4 linked regions of the Saccharomyces cerevisiae S288C genome follow. Changing the gene in region 4 together with the main gene of any one other region gives a genetic interaction. Each region holds a gene or a part of one and is shown on either strand. Other genes may lie near its edges. The genes, in order: TEN1, CAF16, CAK1 and KIN28.

Region 1 (2,649 bases), on a different chromosome or scaffold from region 4:
TACCACCAGGGCAGGTTTTCCGTGCCATTCATGGTAAAGACGATCAATTGCATTTTTTAAGGCTGCTGGATACCCCCAATTATATTGAGGTGTAACGAATACAATAATATCTAATGCATTTACGATGCGACTCCACGATCGAGTTTTGCTGTCTGCATACTCATCCACGCTCTTTATTTGCGCAGGGATCAGTTCGTCATCATCTTCATATAAGGGAAGAGCAATCTGTTGTAAATCTACTACTTGTATTTTCAGCTTCTGGTCTATTAATTCTTCGCTATTTTCAATTGTACGTTTTACGTATGCTGCAATTTCTGGGCATACCCTCTTTGCCCTCACAGAACCCATTATAATACCCACTTTCATGTTTAATGCGGTTGTCGACTAAGCACCTCAGCTGGTAATGGAGATGACCAAGTAACTAATTAACAATTGATAGATATACAACTTTCCCTTTTCAATAGGCATGTCAAATCTTTCGATTTTTTTTGATTTTGCACCTTCTTTGATTCATATTTACATTCGTAACCATGTGAGATGCTCAAATGTTATGATACTGACGGGTAATAAACAACGGGGGCACCACTCAAAGAAAAAAGCAGCTTATCTGTAGAATCTACACAGGGTTATGCCAAGAATGGAATTACAACAATTGCCTTGAATTCAAATCAGATACAAAAAATAGCATAAAATAGTAGGGTCAAACAACAGACCAAGACGAGACTGTAATCATCATGTTGTAATAAGAATCATGTATTAACTATCGACTAGTATTCATGTCAGTAGTATATACTGTCATATACAGTGTAACGTGGGGACATTAATTTTGATGACTTTTTTATGTCCTCACGTTACACCGCATGTGACGGTATACTGGTAACACAAATACTACTAAACAGATGGTATTTTACAGTTTCATTCCAACAAAAGCATGAAGTGTAATTAAAAAAATGCTTTCTTGGCTTGTATTCATCTAATTCATTTGATCATAGCATGTGCTCTATATTGTAATGGCCAAGCTCGGCGTTAAAGTTTTTAGTTGACATATTTATCATCTTGTGTAATATTTAACATAAAATAGGTTAAATTATTGTATCTCAAAATGAGATACGTCAGCCTGACAATACATTATCCTAAACGTTCATAAAATACATATGAAACAATCCTATAACAAAACGAACAACATGAGATAAAACCCGGCCTCCCTTAGCCAAACTACCCAAACATATAAATGCCTGAACAATTAGTTTAGATCCAAGATCCGTGCTTCCACCATTTAGTATGATTCATATTTTATATGATATAGGACAGTTAACATTCCTTGAATCAAGCTGATAATCCGTTTTGACAACTGGTTACTTCTCGAAGACTGTTTATATTAGGATTGTCAAAACACCCCAGTATTATTTGGGCTCGTAATATGATATAAATCAATAGTCATATGGCAACTTGGCCGAGTGGTTAAGGCGAAAGATTAGAAATCTTTTGGGCTTTGCCCGCGCAGGTTCGAGTCCTGCAGTTGTCGTTATTTTTTCTTTTTCTTTTTTTTTTCTCTGAAGCAGAGATGGAGAATAATGAATGCCCTTATTCTAGGACATAATTCACTATATTGTATTGGTTACATACAGCTCTATTTGCTCTTTTTAGAGAACTACGACAGTGTTATATGAGCCAGTTAGTTCTAGACTTAAAATGTTTGAAGGATAAAATAGCAACGAATTACGATATTCATAACAATGTTTACGGTGGAAACGGAATGGAACCAAACATTATTCATCCGTCCAAAAGATTCAGGATTGTTGTTCGATTAGTAGATTTCTTGTTCTGTAAATCGGATGAAGAATTCATTAAAGGTTTTTTCTGTCAAATGATAGTTAGAAATCTTCATTGCCTCAATTCAACAAATGGCGCAGAGGAGATGCGTTTGTATATGAGCGAAAGATTATTTTCAGCCCATAAAGATGATTTGAGATTGATAAATGGGCAGGTACTGGATGTTCGCATTGGGGTATGGTATGGAATACACCAAAGTCCGCCAATTTTTGAAATCATTGATTTTAAGATACTATCCAGGAATGACGTTCGTGATTTCTGTGAATTTGTCAAATCACCACTTGGTGAGAAGTTTCTGAACATCTCTAACTCCTAAGTCAGACGTTTGGCATATACTGAGATTATATAATACCTTTGATAAGAATGTAAGAGGACCCTTGAAAATAGTTATTGTAATGTTATGTAATGTAAATAATAGTATACAGGTGATTCTTATTTATCCCATGAAATAAGTATGAGAAAAGAAAGGAAAGAGGCAATTAGCCCGGTTCTGTTCTAACTAAAAAGCAATTTTCTTTGTATTTCTTCTTCTGTTCTTTAGCAGAATCTTTTGCTTTTCCAATTGTTCTTCCTCTTCCTCGTCACTGTCGATTTCCATATCCTCCTCTTCTTCTTCAGATTCCTCTTGTTCGGATACTGATTCAGCTCTTTCTTGTTCTTTAGCCAACTTTCTGGCAATTTCAACTTCTCTGATTCTCAATAATTCTGGGTTAGATTCGACCAATTTCTTATCTCTTAAGAAGTCCTTTTCTTTGTTACCTCTCATTCTATTCTTGTAGAAGGCTCTTTCACGTTTTTGTCTAATTTCTTCGATTC
Region 2 (3,186 bases), on a different chromosome or scaffold from region 4:
TAGCTAAATTTTTCCTTTTTTCTCTCTGGGAAGGGAAGATTATCTTGAATTGGCAAAGTAAAGAAATAAAGAGAAAATTTAGCAAATGACATAGAACAAGCCAATTAACAAAATACGATGCCATTAAGGTCATTATTTCATACTAATCAGAGTAGCCACGACAAAGACGCGTTGACAAGGGGAGGTTATAACGCATATCTGGAATCACTTTCTCGTTGTGACAGTGGAAAGGCAGAAGAACAAAAAGGAAAAGTTATATCAAAGTTATTAGAGAAAAAAGATGTCCGAGCTTTGAGGTACATAGGTTTAGGGCCTCTGGGGTTTGTAAACAACTCATTAAGAAAAGATTGTTGGTATGAATTATTGGCGTCCCAGTTGCTTATTGATGATGCAACAGAGTACATTACACCAGTGGAAAAACATAAAGATGAAGGTCAGGTGATATTGGATGCAGAAAGGTCTTTTGGTGGAATTGTCGACAAAAACTTGAAACTGCAATTGAGAAAACTACTGGTGGAGTTAATTACTCGGGTATTGAGAAAGTACCCAACGTTGAACTATTACCAAGGTTATCATGATATTGTGTCTGTTTTCATCATGTGTTTTAGTTGGAATGTCACAAAAGAGAACGGACTGGAACTAGAAAATCTCTCATTGCAAGAAGAAATTGATATGGAAAGGCTGTTTTATTGCATCGAAGCATTTACCCTATTATATCTGAGGGATTTCATGATGAACTCACTAGATTTTTCATTTGAGCAATTGAGAGTAATCTCTTCATTGATAAAGGAATCAAACATGAAATTCTATAATCTATTCAAATTTGACGAAAATGAGCCCCTTTTCGCTATTGGGTCAATATTGACAATCTTTGCACATAATTTGAAACCTATAGATAGCGGTGACAACAATCTTCATAAAATTCTTTTCCAGATATTTGACATGACAATATCGATGCAATCTATGCGTTTACCTTTGATCATATACAAGAACCTGCTATTGCAAAATGCGTCTGAAATTTCGAAGCAAATAGAAGCTAATTCTGATTTCTTCGAGAACGATTTTGACCTGCGCCATGGTGCTATACAAACAGTTTTACAGAAAAAACTGTATGATGAGGCGCTTTGGGAAGAAGTCTTGCAAATAACTAGAAAAGATGCGACTACTGCCAGCAAGAAGGCTTTGAAACGGGTGAGTCTTAATAAATATAGTGCATTACTCAATACAGCATGTGGAAAGCCAGGATGCTTCGATATGAGCACCATTATCTTCTATTTGAGCGAACAAACAAAGATGAACGAGCATTACAAGGAAGAAAAGTATCATGGTGTCGCCGCCAGATCCAAGACAAGGGCGTTGGTCCAAAGACTTGGCCATTTTTTACCCTCCAAATATAACAGGTGGAGCAAAATTTCTTTACTTATCGGGATTGTAGCTATCCTGTACCAATTACGGACTACAAGGTCGTTGAGTTTAGTACTCAATCTACGTTACATGATCTCCACAAAGTTGAAAGACTTATCACATATAAATATAAATTTGCACCACGTTAGTCACATCTGGGTGGATCCGATTAGGGACATTTTGAAACTGGGGCATCCAACTAGATAGCATACAATATACCTTATATACCCATGACATAGAAACAAACTCATATGTAAGGTATTATTATAAAGTGCTTCTTTAAAATTCGCTGCGGAAATTTCTTCGAGGATGACTCAAATAAGAAAAAACGAAAATTCTGAAAGAGAGATTTTTAGTATGGAGAAAACCAGTACTCCTGCATAAGATATCAAGATATTAGATAACTCTCAAGATGGTTTCCCAATTTGCTATTGAGGTGCGTAACCTAACGTACAAATTCAAAGAAAGCTCCGATCCGTCAGTTGTTGATATCAATCTTCAAATCCCATGGAATACAAGATCTTTAGTTGTGGGTGCCAATGGTGCTGGTAAATCCACCCTTTTGAAATTACTAAGCGGTAAGCATCTTTGCCTTGATGGAAAAATCCTGGTCAATGGTCTTGATCCATTCAGTCCATTATCTATGAATCAAGTGGACGATGATGAAAGTGTTGAAGATTCGACGAACTACCAAACGACCACTTATCTAGGTACGGAATGGTGCCATATGAGTATCATTAATAGGGATATCGGCGTCTTGGAACTATTAAAAAGTATTGGATTCGATCATTTTAGGGAAAGAGGTGAAAGATTGGTTAGAATCCTGGACATCGATGTACGTTGGAGAATGCACAGGTTAAGTGATGGACAAAAGAGAAGAGTTCAGTTAGCCATGGGGCTCTTGAAACCTTGGAGAGTTTTACTACTTGATGAGGTCACTGTGGATCTCGATGTTATTGCCAGAGCAAGACTTCTGGAGTTTTTAAAGTGGGAGACCGAAACCAGAAGATGCTCAGTGGTCTACGCTACACATATTTTTGACGGCTTGGCCAAATGGCCTAACCAAGTATACCATATGAAATCAGGTAAGATTGTGGATAATTTAGATTATCAGAAAGACGTAGAGTTCTCTGAAGTGGTCAATGCTAAAGTTAATGGACAAGTGGCCTTTGAAAATGACAACAATAAGGTTGTTATTAGTAAAGTGAATAGTTTGCATCCATTAGCACTAGAATGGTTGAAACGTGATAATCAAATTCCTGACAAAGAGATTGGTATATAACTGAGTATATATAACTGCAAAGACCCCCTGTATAGAAAATATGTATCTTAGTGGAAAATGTGATTTGACTATTTAAGTTATAGAAGTAGTTTGTGATCCTAAAAAAAGGAAAACGACAGAAGTCTCATAGAAGCAAAGAGGCCAGATGAAGAAGAGAGGCAACAAAATTCACGCCCATCTTAATGAAACTGGATAGTATAGACATTACACACTGTCAGTTGGTCAAATCTACTAGAACTGCTAGGATTTATAGGTCGGATACATATGCCATTAAATGTCTAGCACTAGATTTCGATATCCCGCCACATAACGCCAAATTCGAAGTATCGATATTAAACAAACTGGGCAACAAATGTAAGCACATCTTACCTCTTCTAGAGTCTAAGGCTACCGATAATAATGACCTATTGTTGTTGTTTCCCTTTGAAGAGATGAACCTTTATGAGTTCATGCAAATGCACTATAAAAGAGATAGAAGAAAAAAAAATCCCTATTACGAT
Region 3 (3,165 bases), on a different chromosome or scaffold from region 4:
CACCAATAATGGAAAATTATGAGGCTGGTAAAGGAGCTTATTTTGCAACCCCACCCGTACAACTAATTAATAGCCTTGATGTAGCCTTGAAAGAAATTCTCGAAGAGGGGTTGCATAAGAGATGGGATTTGCACCGTGAAATGAGTGATTGGTTTAAAGACAGTTTGGTTAATGGCTTGCAATTGACATCCGTCAGTAGGTATCCTTCTAACATGTCTGCGCACGGGTTGACAGCCGTATACGTAGCAGATCCTCCTGATGTCATTGCTTTTTTAAAGTCACACGGTGTAGTCATTGCCGGAGGTATTCACAAGGACATCGGACCCAAGTATATCCGTATTGGACATATGGGTGTGACCGCTTGCAACAAGAATTTACCGTACATGAAGAACTGCTTCGACTTAATAAAACTAGCTCTTCAGAGGAAAAAGTGATTACCCTCGTACTTTTCATTTCATATATATATATATATATATATATGTACCTATATATTCTTCTTATTATGGCTTTTCTAATTCTTGCAAGATTCTTTGACAGCTCCATCTTTCGTTTGGTGAAAATGAAACCATCCCCAGGATACAATTAATGAACTTCTGCTTGACTTTGACATCCGCAATCTCGTCCAGTCGAGGCATATTCCTCTCAACAATGCTAATCTGTACATCTTTCTCCTGGTCCAGTACATACTTGCCATCGCCATCTGCACCAAACATACCAACAAATGCATCAACCGAGCCGTGTTGCGCAACCTCTTCCCATTTCTGAATGGACGGTATGCCCAACTTTTCGAATATTGAGCAAATCAGTCTGAAATCGCTTCCATCTGAGTTCATGTCGTCGCTGCCGTCATCAATCATGGCCGGAACGTGCCCCATACGGCTTGTTTCTCTCTGGAACCACTGAGAAATAATTATCAACAACGACCACACGTCCACGCCACCATCATAGCATTTTACTCCAAAAAGCACTTCTGGGGCCTTGTAAATTCCTGTGCTTATATCCGTCACCTTGCTATCCATGGGTTCCGCACTTGTTTGTGAGTTATTTGCCATGTCATAAGAGATGCCAAAATCAATTATGTACAACTTTGGGGATACGGTGCTGGTATTGTTTGTTAGCATGATATTTTGCGGTTTGATGTCGCGGTGAATGATCTTGTTCTCATGTAAGAATGCAATCCCTTCAACCATTTGCCGGAAAAAGGACAAAGAATACCGATTGACGTCCAATTGATTAGTATATTTCTGAACGGGGGGGTCCGCAACAATTGGGATACTGGGATTTAGCAAATCGTAATAGGGATTTTTTTTTCTTCTATCTCTTTTATAGTGCATTTGCATGAACTCATAAAGGTTCATCTCTTCAAAGGGAAACAACAACAATAGGTCATTATTATCGGTAGCCTTAGACTCTAGAAGAGGTAAGATGTGCTTACATTTGTTGCCCAGTTTGTTTAATATCGATACTTCGAATTTGGCGTTATGTGGCGGGATATCGAAATCTAGTGCTAGACATTTAATGGCATATGTATCCGACCTATAAATCCTAGCAGTTCTAGTAGATTTGACCAACTGACAGTGTGTAATGTCTATACTATCCAGTTTCATTAAGATGGGCGTGAATTTTGTTGCCTCTCTTCTTCATCTGGCCTCTTTGCTTCTATGAGACTTCTGTCGTTTTCCTTTTTTTAGGATCACAAACTACTTCTATAACTTAAATAGTCAAATCACATTTTCCACTAAGATACATATTTTCTATACAGGGGGTCTTTGCAGTTATATATACTCAGTTATATACCAATCTCTTTGTCAGGAATTTGATTATCACGTTTCAACCATTCTAGTGCTAATGGATGCAAACTATTCACTTTACTAATAACAACCTTATTGTTGTCATTTTCAAAGGCCACTTGTCCATTAACTTTAGCATTGACCACTTCAGAGAACTCTACGTCTTTCTGATAATCTAAATTATCCACAATCTTACCTGATTTCATATGGTATACTTGGTTAGGCCATTTGGCCAAGCCGTCAAAAATATGTGTAGCGTAGACCACTGAGCATCTTCTGGTTTCGGTCTCCCACTTTAAAAACTCCAGAAGTCTTGCTCTGGCAATAACATCGAGATCCACAGTGACCTCATCAAGTAGTAAAACTCTCCAAGGTTTCAAGAGCCCCATGGCTAACTGAACTCTTCTCTTTTGTCCATCACTTAACCTGTGCATTCTCCAACGTACATCGATGTCCAGGATTCTAACCAATCTTTCACCTCTTTCCCTAAAATGATCGAATCCAATACTTTTTAATAGTTCCAAGACGCCGATATCCCTATTAATGATACTCATATGGCACCATTCCGTACCTAGATAAGTGGTCGTTTGGTAGTTCGTCGAATCTTCAACACTTTCATCATCGTCCACTTGATTCATAGATAATGGACTGAATGGATCAAGACCATTGACCAGGATTTTTCCATCAAGGCAAAGATGCTTACCGCTTAGTAATTTCAAAAGGGTGGATTTACCAGCACCATTGGCACCCACAACTAAAGATCTTGTATTCCATGGGATTTGAAGATTGATATCAACAACTGACGGATCGGAGCTTTCTTTGAATTTGTACGTTAGGTTACGCACCTCAATAGCAAATTGGGAAACCATCTTGAGAGTTATCTAATATCTTGATATCTTATGCAGGAGTACTGGTTTTCTCCATACTAAAAATCTCTCTTTCAGAATTTTCGTTTTTTCTTATTTGAGTCATCCTCGAAGAAATTTCCGCAGCGAATTTTAAAGAAGCACTTTATAATAATACCTTACATATGAGTTTGTTTCTATGTCATGGGTATATAAGGTATATTGTATGCTATCTAGTTGGATGCCCCAGTTTCAAAATGTCCCTAATCGGATCCACCCAGATGTGACTAACGTGGTGCAAATTTATATTTATATGTGATAAGTCTTTCAACTTTGTGGAGATCATGTAACGTAGATTGAGTACTAAACTCAACGACCTTGTAGTCCGTAATTGGTACAGGATAGCTACAATCCCGATAAGTAAAGAAATTTTGCTCCACCTGTTATATTTGGAGGGTAAAAAATGGCCAAGTCTTTGGACCAACGCCCTTGTCTTGGATCTGGCGGCGACACCATGATACTTTTCTTCC
Region 4 (3,397 bases):
TCATAGATTTGATGACGGAAGCATTCATCAAGCGTTTAGATTTCTTGTCGCAGTTATTTTCCTTGCTCTTCCAAAACGTGTTCCATGACGATGCATTGATTCCATCATCATCATTAGCAACATCGCTATGATTTGGAAGTTCCCCAATAGGACTTACTTCAGGCTGGAAGAGAGGATCACAAGGTGCCGTAGTTTGACCTCCCAGTTTCTGAAGTAATTGAGAGTAGTCCAAAAAAAGTAAAGAAGAGGAGTACAAGGGAACTATTCCGTCGTTGACGGCATTAGCATAAAGTGTTCTTCTTTTGAATCGAGCAAGCACACTGATTAAGGATTCCTCGGATAGCAGGTAAAGTAGGGGCTTATCACCATAATTTCCATCCTTAAGACCCAGTTCTTGCCCCGTAGTACCAATGATACCCATCGACAATGACATTTTTACGTAATTGGGCGTGCTGGTAGCAATGCCTAGCAATGGTGACGCCAGTGAGATAAAATTGATTGGCTCCACTTTCTTAAAGAAATATGGATATTTGGTCTTTATGTAACAAATAGCAAAAGTTTGTGTTAATCCACCCAGGGAATGACCAATAAATGAAATTTTCCCAACAGAGTCATCATATAACTCGTCGATGATGTAGTTTGCCAATCCAACACCCAAAAACTTAATACCCTTCTCAGTCTCACAAGCATTCTTCATATATCCCTTAATAACTAGTCGCTCATTTGGATTGTTCATTTGAGCCTTGTATATTTCTTCCATTAAGTATTCCATATCTGCCGAAACGTTTGATTGAAAACCATGCGTGAGAATGACTAAATGGGATTTTTGCGACATGTCTATGGGTCGTGGTACTTTCCATATATCTGCGGTGGTAAGTCTATGCACCGATAATCCTGTGTGTAAAATATTGCAGGCTTTATCAGGCAATGAATCATTACATCGTATTTTTCTTTTCAAAGAGGCCTTTGAATTGCCGACTACTATCTCAAAAGTTACCTTAGTTTCTTTATTAAATAGTATTTGACTGACAATATCCACTATCCATACATAGCGTGGCTTAATGTGGTGCAAGGACAACTCTGCAATAAACTTTTGTTGTGCCTGTAGGTTTGATTGAAATACTGGTTTATCCGCCGAACATATGATCTTATACGAGCTTTCGTAATCTTTTGCTCGCACGTCACAATATAAGATAAATGGGCCCAATAGATAGGCTGGTTTATAGGATAGCTTTGTGGTATTTTTGATCTTTACCCATAGGGAATCCAGTGTGATATCAGCGGGAATACTATCACCCTGGTATAGCTCATATGTAATAACGTATCTTTCTAACTCACCTAACTTTACTGACGACTGATTGTGGTATAGCACTTCATCAGCACTCCTGCCAGCTTCCATATTACTACCGTTTCCCCGATGTTTTTGGGTGAATAAGGTCAGGTGAGCATTTTTTGTACTGATATTTTTTCTCTTTGTTTGCAGACACAACGCTTGCTGTTAATACGCTAAAAACATACCACACTACCTTGAACAAATCCTCCAAGAGAAATTTGTAAGAATTCAGAAGCGGTTTCAGGGGAAGTCGGCTTAGTTGTCAATTGTAATTGAAAATCACCCTCTAATTTGAAAGATTTTCAGTTTCAATAAGACATCAATCTTGCCAGTTTGTAATTTTTTGGTATATAGAAATGGTCTTCAAGCATAAGCCTTAAGAAAGATTCGTCCATTGGATGAACCTACAATTTTTTTTGTGTTATGATGTGAAGCTTCATTTGAAGCATTGTGCAGAGAATATTACAAGTAGATTCAAAAAACACATTGAAAAAAAATACAAGTGAAATCACAGTTACTTAAAAGTCATCAAAAAAAATATTCCCGGCCTCAGAGCGAACATATGAAAGTGAATATGGAGTACACAAAGGGTATGTGGGGGTTATATATTGTCGTCTTTCTTTTAACATTCAATAATGATACTAACGTTGATTAATGATGATTCATCGCAGAAAAGAAAGTTGGTGAGGGTACTTATGCGGTTGTTTACTTGGGTTGTCAACACTCTACTGGAAGAAAGATTGCTATTAAGGAGATCAAAACATCCGAATTTAAAGATGGTTTAGATATGTCAGCTATCCGTGAAGTTAAGTACCTCCAAGAAATGCAGCATCCGAACGTCATAGAACTAATAGACATATTTATGGCTTATGATAATTTAAATCTCGTTCTGGAGTTCCTACCAACTGATCTAGAGGTGGTAATAAAAGACAAATCAATACTGTTTACACCAGCAGATATTAAGGCATGGATGCTTATGACTTTGAGGGGCGTGTATCATTGCCACAGAAATTTCATTTTGCACAGGGATCTGAAACCAAACAATTTATTATTTTCACCTGATGGCCAGATAAAAGTAGCAGATTTCGGTCTAGCAAGGGCGATACCGGCCCCACATGAGATACTGACAAGTAACGTCGTAACAAGATGGTATAGAGCGCCAGAATTGTTGTTTGGAGCTAAACATTACACATCGGCTATTGATATCTGGTCAGTAGGCGTTATATTCGCGGAATTAATGCTAAGGATACCTTATTTACCAGGACAGAATGATGTCGATCAAATGGAAGTAACGTTCAGGGCCTTAGGGACACCTACAGATAGAGATTGGCCCGAAGTTTCTTCCTTTATGACGTATAACAAGTTACAAATATATCCGCCCCCTTCAAGAGATGAATTGAGGAAAAGGTTCATTGCTGCTAGCGAATACGCCTTAGATTTTATGTGTGGAATGCTAACGATGAACCCACAAAAGAGGTGGACCGCTGTTCAGTGTTTAGAAAGTGATTATTTCAAAGAATTACCACCACCAAGTGACCCGTCTTCAATAAAAATACGTAACTGATATGATTTTATAAAATTTGTAGAATCTGTGTTATTGACATTAGATGTATCCTCAACATATACAAATAAACTTCTTGATGCGTCTTGTTTTTTGGTGTTGAATTTTAACTCTTTTCCATCATTATGGAATTCGTTTTTAGATTTTAACAACAACAATATGAGGGGAGACAAACAGTAGCAGACGAAAACGAAAACAAAAGCAAGAAATATCTGATCTAAAATATGCAGAGGTTTGTCAGTAAGTTTGTTTCCACACCACCAGTACCCAAAAAGTTTCAAGAGATTTTCCCGAAGAAACGTACGGTTAACAAAATTTTATTCCAGTTAGATACAAGGCTTACATACCATGAAATGTACCCGATATTTCTGCAGGTATCACAAAATACTAATGAAGAGAATATCCCATGGAGGAAGAAATACCCCTATATAAGGAGTTCAGACATTATGCAGATGCGAAACGTCTTGATAACTCTAAGGACGCAGAACAAATTCGTCCACAAA

The links.
Region 1: mutations in KIN28 (region 4) and TEN1 impair growth when combined (synthetic growth defect), as found in Saccharomyces cerevisiae (one study listed by BioGRID).
Region 2: mutations in KIN28 (region 4) and CAF16 together harm fitness more than expected from each alone (negative genetic interaction), as found in Saccharomyces cerevisiae (2 studies listed by BioGRID).
Region 3: mutations in KIN28 (region 4) and CAK1 are lethal when combined (synthetic lethality), as found in Saccharomyces cerevisiae (3 studies listed by BioGRID, with this or other methods).

What each region holds. Positions count from the first base shown.
Region 1 is NC_001144.5:166,820-169,468, reverse strand, and holds TEN1 (Ten1p), read left to right. Parts: upstream 1-1,666; coding exon 1,667-2,149; downstream 2,150-2,649. Other genes in the region: LOT6 (flavin-dependent quinone reductase), read right to left, coding at 1-366; RLP24 (ATPase-activating ribosome biosynthesis protein), read right to left, coding at 2,333-2,649. UniProt on the Saccharomyces cerevisiae protein: Has a role in telomere length regulation and telomere end protection. Acts as an inhibitor of telomerase loading through its interaction with CDC13.
Region 2 is NC_001138.5:78,844-82,029, reverse strand, and holds CAF16 (putative ATP-binding cassette family ATPase CAF16), read left to right. Parts: upstream 1-1,816; coding exon 1,817-2,686; downstream 2,687-3,186. Other genes in the region: GTPase-activating protein GYP8, read left to right, coding at 118-1,611; cyclin-dependent protein kinase-activating kinase CAK1, read left to right, coding at 2,869-3,186.
Region 3 is NC_001138.5:77,555-80,719, forward strand, and holds CAK1 (cyclin-dependent protein kinase-activating kinase CAK1), read right to left. Parts: upstream 1,608-3,165; coding exon 501-1,607; downstream 1-500. Other genes in the region: AGX1 (alanine--glyoxylate transaminase), read left to right, coding at 1-434; putative ATP-binding cassette family ATPase CAF16, read right to left, coding at 1,790-2,659; GTPase-activating protein GYP8, read right to left, coding at 2,865-3,165.
Region 4 is NC_001136.10:265,803-269,199, forward strand, and holds KIN28 (TFIIH complex serine/threonine-protein kinase subunit KIN28), read left to right. Parts: upstream 1-1,895; coding exon 1,896-1,923; intron 1,924-2,004; coding exon 2,005-2,897; downstream 2,898-3,397. Other genes in the region: YDL109C (putative lipase), read right to left, coding at 1-1,399; MSS2 (Mss2p), read left to right, coding at 3,119-3,397. UniProt on the Saccharomyces cerevisiae protein: Catalytic component of the TFIIK complex (KIN28-CCL1 dimer) which is the protein kinase component of transcription factor IIH (TFIIH) and phosphorylates the C-terminal domain of RNA polymerase II during transition from transcription to elongation after preinitiation complex (PIC) formation, thereby positively regulating transcription.